Coturnix japonica: one gene and its partners. The protein of the gene in region 2 purifies or fractionates together with the protein of the main gene of each other region. This does not show direct contact. Links are inferred from orthologs where the notes say so. Each region holds a gene or a part of one and is shown on either strand. Other genes may lie near its edges.

Region 1 (5,040 bases), on a different chromosome or scaffold from region 2:
AAGTACAACGAAGGATCCAAACATGAGGAAACAAGTGAGACTGTCATGGCATCACAGTGCTTCAGAACATCAGTTCTTGGATGCTTTAGGGACTAGAGAGAATCAAATCATGACTTCCAAAAATGGCCTAGATAAGTTAACACCAGTCATGTTTCTCTGGCTGTTAATCTCTGTCAAAAACCCTCTGCAGAAAGGCTATTAAGGTCTGCACAGTTAATACCTACCTCAGAGCAGTACTCCCTCTGCTACAGGGAGCACTTCCACTGCCATGACCCACTTCCTAATCACACAGGAATTAAAGCAGATCCTGAGGAGTTTTCAAACTCTAATTTTTGAGGCGATCTCTATCTTTTACATGACTGCATTTGTACAGTGAAGACAACCGCATTCAACCGCTGCACGTCAGTGCTGTAAGATTTCAGTATTTCTAGTGTTTTTAAGGGCAAAAATACCATGTCTGTGGCCGAAGACAAAAGGGAACTCTATTATTTCTGCCTCACATGCTTTACTATATTTAAATAAATAATTTTAATAAAACATATTTTTTTTCAGATGAAAATAATTAAATTTCATAAGTAATCATGAATCTGAATTAAGACACCATCAGCAGGAGGGATTCTTTAAGTTTTGAGTTTGTTTTCTTGGGCTTTAAAAGGGATTTACATGAAGAAAGCAACAGAGCGTATGTGACATGAAAATGATGGCAAGTGTAAGGGGCAGGATGAGCCCAGTATTTCTTTGCACATTCTTCATGTCCCCTTATACCATACAGTGTTTTCAAAACCCATCTAGTTGCTACAAATAACTTAAATGCAGGTAAAAGATCTTGCAATATAAGAACTCATACATTGTGCCTCAGATCCCACCCTTCAAAAGGGGTTTTCTCTATTTAAAAGGAACAATAAAGCAACTCCCACCACGTGCCAATTAGCAGGATGTAGGCTGAACCAGTACAACCTTTAAGACTATACAGTAATATAGAGTATTCAGTACTGTAACAAGGTTTCAAGTAGAACAGAAGTTCGCAAAATATCAGATATAAGGAATGAAAAGTTTCTATAGTATTCTTACAGCTAATTATGGGAAGAATAAATAAAGAATTCGGGTTCAAAATTGTAGAAAATTTTCTATGCTTTGTTTTCAATCCAATAGAAAAATTCTACATTTTGCCTCAAAATGGAAGAGTAAATTTAGAAATGGATGTTCTTTTCCATCAACTAAAAGAAAAACTAGTGTTGAACTCCAGAGAACACATACTTGCAGATTTACTTATAGTCAGTTACTTCCAACACATGGCTTGCTGAGCTTATAATATCTGTAGGATTTTATGTTCCTTTCAGTCCTCCTCCTCTCCGAGTTCTGCAATTCTTCTCATCACCCACGCCTGCAAACTGTGTCTAGTATTTAAGTGTTCTCCTCCTCATCACACACTTAATCTTTTCAGATACATATTTGTAAAATATAATGACTCGAATAAGTTTTCACTTTTTAAATAGACAAAGGTACTTCTAAACGTGTTTCCAACTCTAATGAGAAAATGCACGTAGATTACTTGTCCTGGAAGTGAGACTGCAAACAGAATCAGTGTTTCAGAAAGTGCAACAATTAGCCTTTCATCCTTCCTACACTTTAAAGCTTTTAAAACACACATCAGTTTTACTGTGTTAAAACAAATTCGACACAACATTACCACATACTTTGCTAATAGAATAAATTCCTTCCCTTCAAGATTAGAGTCTAAAGCTGCGATCTGCAAACCTACTCTGACAAACGCTTTCACTGAAGTTGGCAAAATTTAAAGTATTTCAGGTTTTCACTATTTTATGCAAGAAAAAGGAAACAGCGCAGGATTGCACAGTCTAATACAGGAACAAAGTATACAGTCATACTACTTCAATTGGATTTTGACATTTAAAATACACACATCTTTCCCTTCAAGCTTACATATTTTTAACTGCAGATTTTAAATGCCTGAAATGAAAACCAGAACATTTCTCCAAAATACCTCCTGTTGATTAAAGACGATTAAAATACTGAAGTAAAAGGGAACAACAATCAGCTGCTGTCTGACGGTATATAATCTATAGCGTTACATTTCTGTCAAAATATCAGAATTATCCTCGTCAGATTCCTTCCCTCAGTAAACAACTATTTTTAGGATTCTTTTCTTGAAAAATACACACTGTACAGTTCTTACCATACATGCTGTACTCCAGATATCTGCAGGTGTACTGTAACCCGCTCCTATTAAAACCTCTATGGATCTATATTGTCTGGTCTGGATGTCTTCTGTGAAGTGTTTATGCTAAAACAGAAAGAATCACATTAATGGCAAAAATGAGCAATAAAAAGGGCTGTTCTACACAGAGAAGACTAGAGAGTTGAATTGATGTAGTTACACTTACCACCCAGCAGGCATTTCCCAGGTCAGCAATTTTAACTCTAATTTTATCTGCATTTCGTGGGTCCAGTGGATTCACCAGTAAGTCAGCAGCACGAGTTTTTGCTAATACAAACAAAAGGCAGAAGAGTATTCAGAACATGCTACTCGTTTTCTGCAAGTGACTTTGTTGAACATTAGGAGAAATTAAAGCAACATAAACAGGATTTCAATTTCTTACCTCGATTTCTAAACATCCTCACACATACTAAGCACGTTTTTTAATAAACTTCCATATACCTATTATTAAAATATGTGGCAGAGCATCTACGTAAAAATGAAGCATATTTCCATGACAAAACAAGTTAAAACTCAAACTGCACATAAAAGACATTCTTTAAATGGTTTGATTGAGAAAATGAATCCATCCCTTCCACTCCTGGTTAAGGTACCTGAAGTTTGGCTGTTGATATTTTGTTGTTTTTCTTTTCAGATCTGCCCCACTGGGAAAGGAATGATCAGAACTTGGCAGATTTCAGAGCCCAGCAGCCTGTTACCCATTTCACAGATAATTCAACATTGAATCAAAGTTCTCTGAAGGATCTATTTGCACTAAACATGATTCAAAGTAAAACTGCAAAACTGCGATCTAATTAATCCAGCAATCTGTATATTCTCCTGAGACACTGGAGGTTCTAACATACAATTCTTGAGGACTCCTCCTTTTTTCTTGCTATTTTTACATACCACCTGCTGACTCCTAACACGTGTGGGGAAGAAAGCAGGTTGCCTTAAACGTGGAAGAAAGAACCAAGTATCACAAGTACAATAACACCAGAGGGACCATCAGTTTCTTCATCTCAAAGCCACAAGAACTCAACCAGAAACTGATGGTGAGACATGAAAGAGATACCAGATCTGAAAGGCATCTGGGAATCCAGAGGGGATATAATGATCAGTTAAACCTGCATAAGTATATTAGAAGAAGAAAACACACGGCACATGAGACAAGGAGGAAAATGAGAGGAAGTCTAGCAGGATGAGTTGCAAATGACTGAAACAAGATGCAGATCTTGAAGTACTGGGACAAGAAGTGCAAATGAGCAACCATGGCACTAAATAATGGCCATCTGGAAAAGAAAATGGCAGAACTTACCAGGGAAGAAAAGAAAACACTAAATGGCAGAAGACAGAACAGGCAGTGACCTCAACAAAACAGTCCTCTAAAAGAGCTGTAACTGAGTGCAAGGCTCAAGTTCTAAAAAAGCACCATCAGAGAGTGTAAAAGTAAAATACACTGAGAGAGTATTAAGGTTGCTTTCTACCCCTGAAAAGACAGAAAATACTTAAAGTCTTCCCTTAAGACCATGCAGCATAGCACAGTCAAATTTTTTTTAAACACAAACCCATGCACTATTCATGAAATAACAGGAGTCAGTTCAGTAGCCTTGCTATTGCTGAAATAAATCCTTCTCATGCATCTTGTTGAAGGTGAAGGACTGCAGTAAATAAAGCAGGAGAATGAAGAAGGAAAAAATGGCTTTGTTAGTGAGACATCTGAAAATGACATTAGGAAGCATTTTGCAACCTCCCTTTAACACAGTGAACAGGCAAAGGTAACAGCCAAGTGCCTCCATCTTCATGTTTTTCTCATGAGCTCAGTGAGCTTGTGTTCTTTATTTTCTGAGATGAATGAGACACCTCAGATTCTGACTTAGACTAACACCGATAATTCACAACTAGCTGTGAAGTCAAAAAGACGGTACTTCTTAGTAAGAACTCTTTAAAAGCACCCTGTGATACTCAACCTGAGGGCAAACTTAGTGAGCATTTCTAATTTTCACTTCTGTGTGTCCCAGTTTTGTAAAACTGAGAAATATCACCTCCTCTTCTCACAGTCACACCATGACAATATACTTAGTAAACATTCAGACACTGGAATGAGGAGGAAAGTCATGACGAAATTAATAAATCTGTCCCTGAGAGCGTCTGGTCGCACAGTTATACACTCAACAAAGAATTAAATAAAGGTAAAAACTTGACAAAAAATAGTTGCTCATCCACTGAATGCAGATCAGCATTAGTTGAGAACATGTTACATAAGAACGTATAGCAATGGCTACATGGAGAGACACGCAAACAAAGTCTGCATCCATACATGAAATGAGCACTAAAGATACAGTGAAAAAGCAGCACCAGTTGAAATATTGAATGGCCTGCAACTGCCATACCGTCCTTCATTCTAATGTAGTTGAATTTGTCTTATCACTGTTTAAATTGTGCCATTCAGATGAACAACATTCAGCTTTTTCTCCTTCTGAGGAAGCGGTGAGCTATGGCTGAATTTACGGTCATTTTACTTTCTTTGCACACAAGAACTGTATATTGCTCCTGATGAGGTAACATCAAAGAGGAACGAAGTAGGCTTGTTTCTCCAGCTGTGGAGATAAGCTGATCTCTTGCTGACAACACCAGCTTTATGCTCTGGATGCATGAGGATTCTACACACCACCCCAGGAAAACAGCAGGAGAGGCCTTCTGCCTCTATATTGCCAGCAGTGAAATGGAAGAGGGGGTTCTGGTGATGGCAAGCTGAGCAACAGCCAGTTGTACACAGCACTGCCAGTGGGCGAGGGGAGGGCTCTCTCTACTCAATTGTA
Region 2 (5,040 bases):
CTGTCAGAACATCGGTTCTTTTTTAATTAAACAAAGCACAATTTGGAGTATCCAGCCTGTTGCTCTTAACACTACCAGGTACACTTGTTCTTTTCAAGTAGTATTAAAAAAAAGCCGGCACACTGTGACCTTGAATAACTAAGCCTGGCAGGAGACGAAACAAACAGAAGAAACAGCATTACTGGCCTAATCCTATGGCAATAGGAACATTGCTCATCATTTTCAGGTGTTCGTCACCGAAGTGTCTTATCAGTGCATATTATTGTGTGCTGAAATGCAACTAGATTTAAAACCAAAAGTTTTAGGCATGTTCATACAAGACACGTACATATATTTCTTGTATATATACATATATGTGTGTTTAGGATCAGCTTTAACCTGTACATAGATATTCTGAATTTCATCCTTAAAACGCATCCATTTCAAACAACATGGATGACTTTCAAGGAAAAAGTGCTTGCTTGACCGTGTCCTGTGTGAACATGCCTGTCCTGCGCATCTTCCCCAAGCAGAGATCTCAATGGTCAGACTTTGACATGCACATCGTTATCTCAGAGGTATGAAAAAAAAAAAAGGAAAAAAAAAAAAAGGAAAGTAATATTGCCCTGATGATGCACAAAGAACAATGCATAACTGAAGCAGCTTGGACTTTAAGAGTGAACTTGCATTCTGCAGCAAGCAGATCCAAAATAGTTGTTGGAAATCTGGCTCCTCCGTTTGTGTTATTGCTCCCTACTCGGAAATCCTCCCTTTAGACATCAACAGTGCAGAGCGGTTCGCTGCCAGGCTGAGCAGATTCCACAATCGTCATCTTGGGCTTCTTCCGTGTTTCCTCCTTAGGAAAACAAACACAAAACAGCTTGGAACGAAGCCCGCCTTGTGCTCACAGAAAGAACATCACAGTGAGAAAATCACAGTGAGAAAATAACTGCACAACCACAGCCAAATCGGTGTCAGTCTCTTTGAAGGTTAATTGGTTCTAACATCAAATGTCAATTGACCAAAGCAAAATTAAGTAATAAATCCACTTAAAAGGGAGGACAAAAATCCCTCTCAAAGCAGTTCTACTGAAAAACAAGTTCTGAACAACTCCTCCTACGAGATACTGCAGGAAACAAGCACAGACTACAATTAGTGAGCCTTGTTTGTAAACCACGTACCACAGAAGAGAAACAAAGTCCATCAGGAGCAGCAGATACTCACTCTTTCTTGTGCCAGTTTCTTCATTTCTTCCTGCAGCTTGTTCAGGATGTGCAGATTTGGCTTGTTCTTTTTGGCATACTGCTGGAGCTCAATCACACTTTTATCAGAGGTCTCCTGTTGAACAAGACCATAGGCAACAACACACGAGCTGTTATGGTTTAGAAATACACACACACAAGAAGTTCTCTCTGACAGCAACATTTCCTTAAGTAATAAGACAGATGCACATGAGCTAGTTTCACATTACATAGGTGGGATGGTTTCTGTCTGGCAAATACAAGATTAACAGAAGTGCCAATGAAAGCATCACACTGGCAAGAGCAAAGTGTGAGAATCACCAGTTCAGAAGAACTGAGATTTGCTCACCAAACGCACACTGCCCTGCGCACAACGGAGAGAAAAAGATGATGCTGAGATGGATGCCACCACAGGTTTTTTTCTTATCACATTAAAAACCAATAACGAGACACAGAAAAATACAGTCACAATGTAGATCACAATTAAAGGAAATCATCTTTACCTGTTTGACCATCTTGCTACTCTCTCTACCATACATACGCAAAAGAGAGCCCCAGTTCTTCACGTGTGGATGCAGAAGCTGCAGGATTTTCTGTGATGCCAGTTGTTTGCCCACTCGTTTATTTTTGCCTGTAAAAATAACCATGAAAACGTCACAGCTGTACTTTGCACAGTTGGACACCAAGCTGACTTGTGCTATTCAAAGCTGAGACAACAGAAAAGAGTAGAGTAAGAATAAAACAAGTTAAGTAACTGAACAAACACCTGCAAAATGGATAACAGAGGACAGGAAGAAAAGGAAGATATCAGAGGTCACACTAAGTGCTGTACTTACACCAGCCTCGCACTGTGTGCTTGCCACAAGTCATGACATATTCACTCTTCTGATTTTTACCAGGAATCACTTCAAATTTTATGGATGTGTCACCCATTCCGTGGTTTCTTGAGCACAATGAATAAATAAACCAACATCACATGCTAAGTACAATTGCAAATAAACAAATAATAACAGTTGTTTTTGTCAGTAACTGCTGCAGAGTCAGATGCAGCGATAATAAATTTTAGGACATCGGTTAATAGGGAGTTATTTCTTAGATCAGTGACTTGAATTGAATGAGAACGGCCCCACATAAAGGAAAAACAATTCTATGCCTCACGATTATATCCTAAGCTGAGAATTTTCTTCAGAAAGCAAACCCACAAGATATTAGTTAATGAAAGACTCGCTATGAACCAGTTCAGTCCACGCCACCTCTTACAGGCAGCGAGTGCAGTAGGCTCAGGCAGCCTGCAAGTGTCCTTCAGTTACTGAGGAACACTGGGCAGCAGCATGCAGCAAACCCTGTGCCCTGACTGAGACGTGCACAAAACAGAACCCGCATGCTGCAGCCTTACCTTTTAAGGCACTCATGGAGAATCTGATATGGAGACAAGAGCCCAGCTTTGCTGGTCAGTTCATATACCCGTGAGTCCTCAATACTGATATGGTTAAAATACTACAAAGAAATTGAAGAGAGATATAAAAGTTTTTGTGCAAATCTAACTCAAATACTGTTCTAAACGGTCATCTCTCCTGCGTAACATTAAACACTGTTACTCTGCACCAAAAAGTATTCTTAAGTGAAAAAAAGTCTTTATCAAAATCATTAAAATTGCCATCCAACTGAGAAAACGGGGCTGGGGACTTTTAGTAATTTTTTCCACACTGGAAACATGATTATTTAAAAACTGAGACTGCAGTAACCACAGCCATGGGGCAAGAGGTCGGTACCTCAAGTTCTTCACTGTCTTTGGGCTTCTCTTCAGAGGTTTGCTTAACAAAGTCAGGAATAAGGATTTCCAGTGTAGCTCGAGCTGCAGAAAATGATTTAATGTCGCAATTAGCTTTATTTTAAATGACAACTGAAAACAGTAGCAGAACACTTCACAACTATTAAACTGCACTAAGAAACTGCTTCTTGAAATGCTTATAGAAGCATTGTCAAATCAAGCAATGTCCCCATCCTTCCAGCTCTAAGGGTTCTATGATTCTAAGTATAAAGTTAGAAAAAGCTCAGCACATACACACTGGTGAGATAACTGGAAGCAGATGGTTTTTTACAGCTTATCAGCACAGATCAGAAATCAACTTCAAGCTTCCTCCTGCTTTTCTGTCCCAGTACAGGTGGGAGCTCTCTACAGCAGTACTTTTAATAAGACTACATGGTGCATGTTTTGTAAATGATGAACAAAATTATTCCTACTTACTATTGCAAATACAGTCATCTTCAAAACAGAAAGGAAAACAGAACAATTAAGAAGGGAAGAAACATTACCAGCTTTATTCTTGGCAAGCTTTTTGCTGCTGGCAGTTCCTGCCCCGTAAGTTACTCCATCAATAATCACGGAGGCTCCAAAAGGCTCACTTGGGTTCTCTGAAAATGGAGAGGAGAAAAGGAAACCTTTCCAGCAGTCCCCATGTATAACAGTCACATACAGAAAACAAACATCGCTATTATCAGTATTTGCTTTCCTCATTGCAGCTTCAAGTAAGGTGGATATTGAGTGCTCTTCAGACAGACTGACTACTCCAGCACACAAAGTCCTAATGGTCTCCACTAACACACACTTCCCACCACATGCACTTCATTCTTCCAAGTAGAGAATTTCTCCATTTTAAGAGATTGTTTAAGATCCGACAGAATTCAAACATTAATTCCAAAGGCTTTTTCCTTCACTACGACAGTGCAAATACAATATGCCAATGTTAAAAACTGTGCTCCATTTGAAACCAGGACAGACTTACCACATTCAAAGAAATTGTAAACAGGGCGAACCTTTAGGACTCGTTGCATATATTCATGTAGTATGCAAACTTCAGATTTCCCATTGGGATTAATGACAAATTCTACAAAAAAGAGAAGATGGCAGCTAGTTTTGGTCTTAGAGAGAAAACTGCTATGAAAAACGAAGTATTTAGTGGCAAAATGCAAGGAAGAATTGCTGCTCAAATTACAAGCGATGCGTTTTAAGGCTGCCTGCAGTAATTAACGCACATCGTGTCCCACTCATCGACGTGTTTCAAGAACAGAAGCAAGAGCTCTCACTTTGAGCTCATCATTAATTTCAACTGACAAAACACTTCACTTTTACACCTGGTTCCTCACTTGACAGTTTAGAAAACTGACTCCAGCAGATCACCTTCTAAGGACCCTTCTGTACCACCTTTTACAATTTCTATTAACCAGCTTATATCCAGTTTTCACTAACAGGCATAGAAAGAAGCTGGTTTTATAACATAAGGGTGAACTATTAAGTATGTACAGAATACCTCAAAAACACAAGCTTTGGAAACAAAGCAAAAACCCACTAAAGCAATTAATGAACAATCACTGTTTGAAATTCAGCCACAACTTTCACATAGGAGGAAATGGTCAATTAATAAAATAAGTTTAATCTCTCAGTACATGAACTAACCTTTCTTTGTAGGTGCATCTTGCACAGACAAGGTAATGAGTTTCTGGTTGGCAGGCAGAATAGGCCGCTCAGACTCCGCCTGCTTTCGCTTCATCTCACGATTGAACTGCCGTCTCTCAGCCCAGGTTCTGAATTTTTTTACAGTAACTTGTTCAAAGTCAAAACGTTTCTCAAGGTAGCGTCTAAAATCTTCCAGATCTAAGAAGCAAGCAGGTTACTATAGCTGACTATACAGCAAAAATACTTCATGCAAAAAGACGCACAAAGAATACACGGCAATAACAGCTCAGATTGATAGAACTGATTCTTAGACTGATATTCAACTTTACTGGATGAAATACCCCAAATTTCCCACATTCCTGT
Region 3 (4,201 bases), on a different chromosome or scaffold from region 2:
GGCACAGTTGTTTGGGCATAAAGAACCTGGGAGGAATCCTTCCCAAGAGAAGATTAAGCCATAAACATGGAGAGGAAAAGCCCTTACCGGGCACAGTGGGCAGCATGGCATCGTACCTGGGGCACTGATGGCAGCTGGCTGCTCTGAGCTCACGTTGCTCAGACTTTCCCTCTGCTTGCACTTCCGATGCTCACTCTCTCCCTCGCTGGGCTCGGGGCTCTGCTGCCGCTTTGTCCACAAGGGATCTGTGTCAGCTCTCCTGAAGCTAAGGAAGGCAGCAAGCATTAGGACTAGACAATAGGCTCAGTGGGTTGGCAACCCCAAGCACCCCTGGAGCCTCACCTGCCCAAGGGTTGTGCCCCAGAGGAGCGCTCCTCGGTTTCCTGCAGCCTTCTCTTCTTCTTCTTCTTCTTGATGGGAGAAATGGGCTCCATGCTGGGGGAACCACTGGGGTTCCGCTCCTCCCTGCCTGTGCCAGCCACCTCCTTCCCTGGAATAGAGCCCTCTGGAGCGATGTTCCTCCTCTTCCTTGGGGGGCTGCAGCCTTCATCACAGCCATTCACAGCCATAGTGTGCGAGCTGCCTCCCACTTTTGACTGCTGCTGCTTTCGCCGCTTCTTTTTGGTGGTCATAGGGCTGGGTCCGTGCTCCCCACTGAGGGTTGGATGGCGGTGAGAGGAGTGGGTCCCATTGGTTAGGGGGGAGGCTGGGAGCCGGGAGGCTGCGCTGGGGGTGAAGCTGAAGGCTGGTGTGTCAGGGCTGGGCAGGGGGAGAGCAGAGGGCAGCCTGCAGGACAGGAACAGAGGCTGAAACAAGCCAAAAGCTGGACTGAGAGCAGGAACATCCCTTTCCCTCTGTACCCAGGGTGCAGGAGCGCAGCCCACATCTGGCTCCATCCCAAACACAAGCCAAGAAAGCACAACCAGACCCTGCTCCAAGAGCTGCCTGGCCACTGGGCACACACTGCCCATGGGTGCTGCTACAGCACAGGCACAGCAGAGACCTGGAACAACAGGCAGACCTGTCCAGAGCCTCCTGCTGCCAGGAGATGCTAATGCACATCCAGAGCCTGCGCAGTGCCAACAGTCAAAGCCACGGCTGCAGAACCTGGGCTGAGTCCTGCCAGCATCCCAGCAATACCAGCTCCAGGGCTGCCGCTACGCAGGAGGCTGGGGACCCCTCACTGCTTACCTGGGCCTGCCGCAGGGCCAGGGCTGGGCAGTGGCCGTGGGGGAGGCGAGGCCAGCAGGCTGCAGGCGGCCGTCACTTCCGCTCACCCTCCGCGGGGTGCTGCCCTGCAGTTATCGACATAAATAAAAACTTGGTGGTCTAACAGAAAGGGTTCCGTGAGCAGAGAGAAGGAAAATAAAAAGAGGGGAGCCCAGAGAAAGGGGAAAGGGGAACAGACACAGAGGGGGAAGAGGGAAGTGGGGGGGGGGGGGGGGGTAGAAGAAGAATCAGAAGTGTTCTCAGTTAGAAGCACAAAGGAAAAAAGGAAGGAAGGAAATTTAAAGCATGGAAAGCACACGGCGCAGCACGGCTGCCGGCAGGGGCAGCACACAGCTCTCCAGCTGCAGCAGCACCACTGCTGGCTCCCCCCAAAGCACCCACCGTGGGGATGCAAAAACCCACCCAGAATAGCTGGGCTTGGCCCCACAGCTCACCCAGCACGGGGGTTCTCCCAGCCCAGCTCCACGAGCACCACCCGCTGCCCCCTCCCCACATGCACCCGCTGACACAGAGCAGCAGCGTGGGCTCACCTTCTTGGCAGACAGTGCCAGCTTCTTGGCTGGGGGTGGTGACGTGGTGCTGCCCGGCTCCAGCGCAGCGGATTTCAGCTTTGCTAGCCTAGAGCCCTCGGGGAGATCCACGGCACAGTCTGTGTCCTGAGAGGAGTTGAGGCCGCCCGCCCCGCTCTTGGCCTTTGGAGCTGCTTTGGCTGCATCCCCCGCTGCGGTGTGTGTGGGGCTGGGGGCTGCGCTGCTGCAGGAGCTGCGCTGTGGGGTGCTGGGCGAGGTGGGGGACTGCGTGCTGTCCCCAGGGCTCTGCTGGGGTGGATCTGCGGTGCTGGAGCTGCACAGACCCGAAGATGCTTTTGGTGCCAGAGGCTGCTGTGGGGATGGCGGTTTCTTGGGTCTTCGGGCTGTGTCATCACTTGGTGTCACCTGGGCGGCTCTGAGGGGCAGTTTGGGTGATGGGGATCCATTGGGTGGCTTCGGTGGTGCAGAGCCATTGGGCAGCTTTGGCCCCACACCCAGCGTGCTGCGGGACACCGGCACCCCGATCTCCTCCGGCCCCGACAGCTTCCTGCCCGGCAGCACCTCAGGGCTCTAGGCAAGGAGAAACAGTGAGGGTCAGCAATGGGAGGCCCTGGGGACAGAACCATGCTGCCCACATGCCCCAGGCTGCTGTGGGGACCATGGGCACAGCCCCCACATCCCGCCTCAGCCTCACCCGGCCCAGAAGTGGTGCTGGCAGGGGCCCGTTGGTTGTGGTTCTCTTGGTCTGATCAGATACAACAGGTGAATGGCTGGGGGTGGCTTTGGCAATGGGCCCTTCTGAGCCCTTCCTAGGGCCAGGGATCCTGGGGAAAGCAAAGCACACATGTCAGCCAGGAGGGTTGGAGACAGCAAACCCCATAGCATCCATGTCCTTGTGCCAACCACCCAGACTGATGCTGCCAGAATACACAGGAGCTGCTGAAGGGCAGGGAACGCAGGGCACCTCACCTCAGGTAGAACAGCACATAGGCCTGCTGATTGAGGACCACCTTGATGTTGCTGCAGTGCACGAGGGAGTCATTCATCTGGTACCACTGCCCATTGCTGGCCTAGGAGCAGAGCTTGGGGTCAGGCCCTGCCCAGAGCAGCACCAGCACCCCAAGAAGGTGCTACTAGGGCTCACCTTCACATAGCAATAGTAGTGTCCTGCATGGCAGCTGTACCCCGAGTGCACCAGCACTGCATAGAGTCCATACATGACCGGATCACCATTGTTCTGAGACATGTAGGGGCGAATGTTCAGGAACTCAGGGTACCCCACGTCCTGCGGGGAGAGGATGGCTCAGGGGTCTTTACCACTAGAGCAAAAGCAGCTCCAACCACCCTATGATCCCTCTCCAGAGGGCACCCAGCTCAGCCCTGGCTAGGACTGCAGCAAGGAAGGTGCTGACCCTGCAGCACAGCCTGGGGAAGGCTACCGGGCTGCAGCAGACCTTATGCTGCAATGGAACCCTATGAGCCGTGGCACAGCCCCAGCCCTGCACTGCCCAATTCTCACCTTTGTGATTTTGCCTCCACTGAAGTTGGCAAAACGCTTCAATGAGAGCGTGAGGACGTTGGAGGCTCGGTGGATGGTGAAGCGTTTGCTGGCTGGTACCTTCTTCTTGCACCTACACAGAAGAGCTCCAGCTATCCAAGCTGCTCCACAGCCAGGTGACTGCCCTCAGCTGGGACACACCTCATGGAATCCATTGCACTGAATGAAAGCATCAGCTCATGGCCACCATCTGCTGCTGCCCAGGCCTTTCCCTCCCAGCCATACAGCTGGAATGGGGTCGGCTCTATCACAGCCACACGTCCCAGCTGGGGCTGCATCTGTACCACCTTACTTTCCGCTACTCCACACCATGGGACCCCCCTCACCTGGCACACATGTAGGCGTTCTCCCCACTCAGCATGTCTGATTTCACAAACAGCTCCAGCGCCCGCACGATGTTTGCAGCTTGCTGCAAGGACAGGGCAGAGCTCAGGGCATGTGTGACCTGTCCACACTACACCATAACACAGTGCCCACTGACATACCCTGATCTCCAAGGACACATCCAGGAAGGGGTCGTAGGTATCTGAGACACTCTTACACACGGAGCATTTCACTGCAAAAGAAAGAGCAGTGAGTGCACCCTGCTACATCTGCACCTGCCATTCAGCAGCTGCAGCGCTGCCCCTCTATGGGTCTGGGCTCTGGGATGCCAGCACCAACATTTCTGTTGGGCATTTGCAGCTTGGCAGGGAGGAAGGCTGCTGGCATAGCAATTGTTGCTCAACAGCTGCAAGCGTTGGTTCCTTCAATGAGTGACAAAGAGCCAAGGACCCGCAGCCAACAGCTTTCTGTGTTGCCACAACAGGAGCCAAGACCCACAGGCATGGCAGGAGTGGCAAAGCACAGCTTTGGGTGATTTACACATGCTTGGCCATTTTCC

Evidence for each region.
Region 1: the proteins of DGCR8 (region 2) and SRPK2 purify together in Homo sapiens (affinity purification with mass spectrometry; 3 studies listed by BioGRID and IntAct, with this or other methods). This does not show direct contact. The link is inferred for Coturnix japonica from reciprocal best matches to the Homo sapiens genes DGCR8 and SRPK2.
Region 3: the proteins of DGCR8 (region 2) and USP36 purify together in Homo sapiens (affinity purification with western blotting; 3 studies listed by BioGRID, with this or other methods). This does not show direct contact. The link is inferred for Coturnix japonica from reciprocal best matches to the Homo sapiens genes DGCR8 and USP36.

What each region holds. Positions count from the first base shown.
Region 1 is NC_029516.1:12,443,310-12,448,349, forward strand, and holds part of SRPK2 (SRSF protein kinase 2), read right to left. Parts: intron 2,507-5,040; coding exon 2,406-2,506; intron 2,306-2,405; coding exon 2,198-2,305; intron 1-2,197. UniProt on the Homo sapiens protein: Serine/arginine-rich protein-specific kinase which specifically phosphorylates its substrates at serine residues located in regions rich in arginine/serine dipeptides, known as RS domains and is involved in the phosphorylation of SR splicing factors and the regulation of splicing.
Region 2 is NC_029530.1:1,010,082-1,015,121, reverse strand, and holds part of DGCR8 (microprocessor complex subunit DGCR8), read right to left. Parts: intron 4,876-5,040; coding exon 4,678-4,875; intron 4,109-4,677; coding exon 4,007-4,108; intron 3,636-4,006; coding exon 3,537-3,635; intron 3,076-3,536; coding exon 2,993-3,075; intron 2,718-2,992; coding exon 2,617-2,717; intron 2,164-2,616; coding exon 2,057-2,163; intron 1,852-2,056; coding exon 1,724-1,851; intron 1,318-1,723; coding exon 1,204-1,317; intron 836-1,203; coding exon 752-835; 3' UTR 1-751.
Region 3 is NC_029533.1:4,605,586-4,609,786, forward strand, and holds part of USP36 (ubiquitin carboxyl-terminal hydrolase 36), read right to left. Parts: intron 3,875-4,201; coding exon 3,804-3,874; intron 3,728-3,803; coding exon 3,645-3,727; intron 3,392-3,644; coding exon 3,280-3,391; intron 3,046-3,279; coding exon 2,905-3,045; intron 2,831-2,904; coding exon 2,730-2,830; intron 2,585-2,729; coding exon 2,455-2,584; intron 2,331-2,454; coding exon 1,761-2,330; intron 1,296-1,760; coding exon 1,192-1,295; intron 787-1,191; coding exon 343-786; intron 266-342; coding exon 117-265; intron 1-116. UniProt on the Homo sapiens protein: Deubiquitinase essential for the regulation of nucleolar structure and function. Required for cell and organism viability.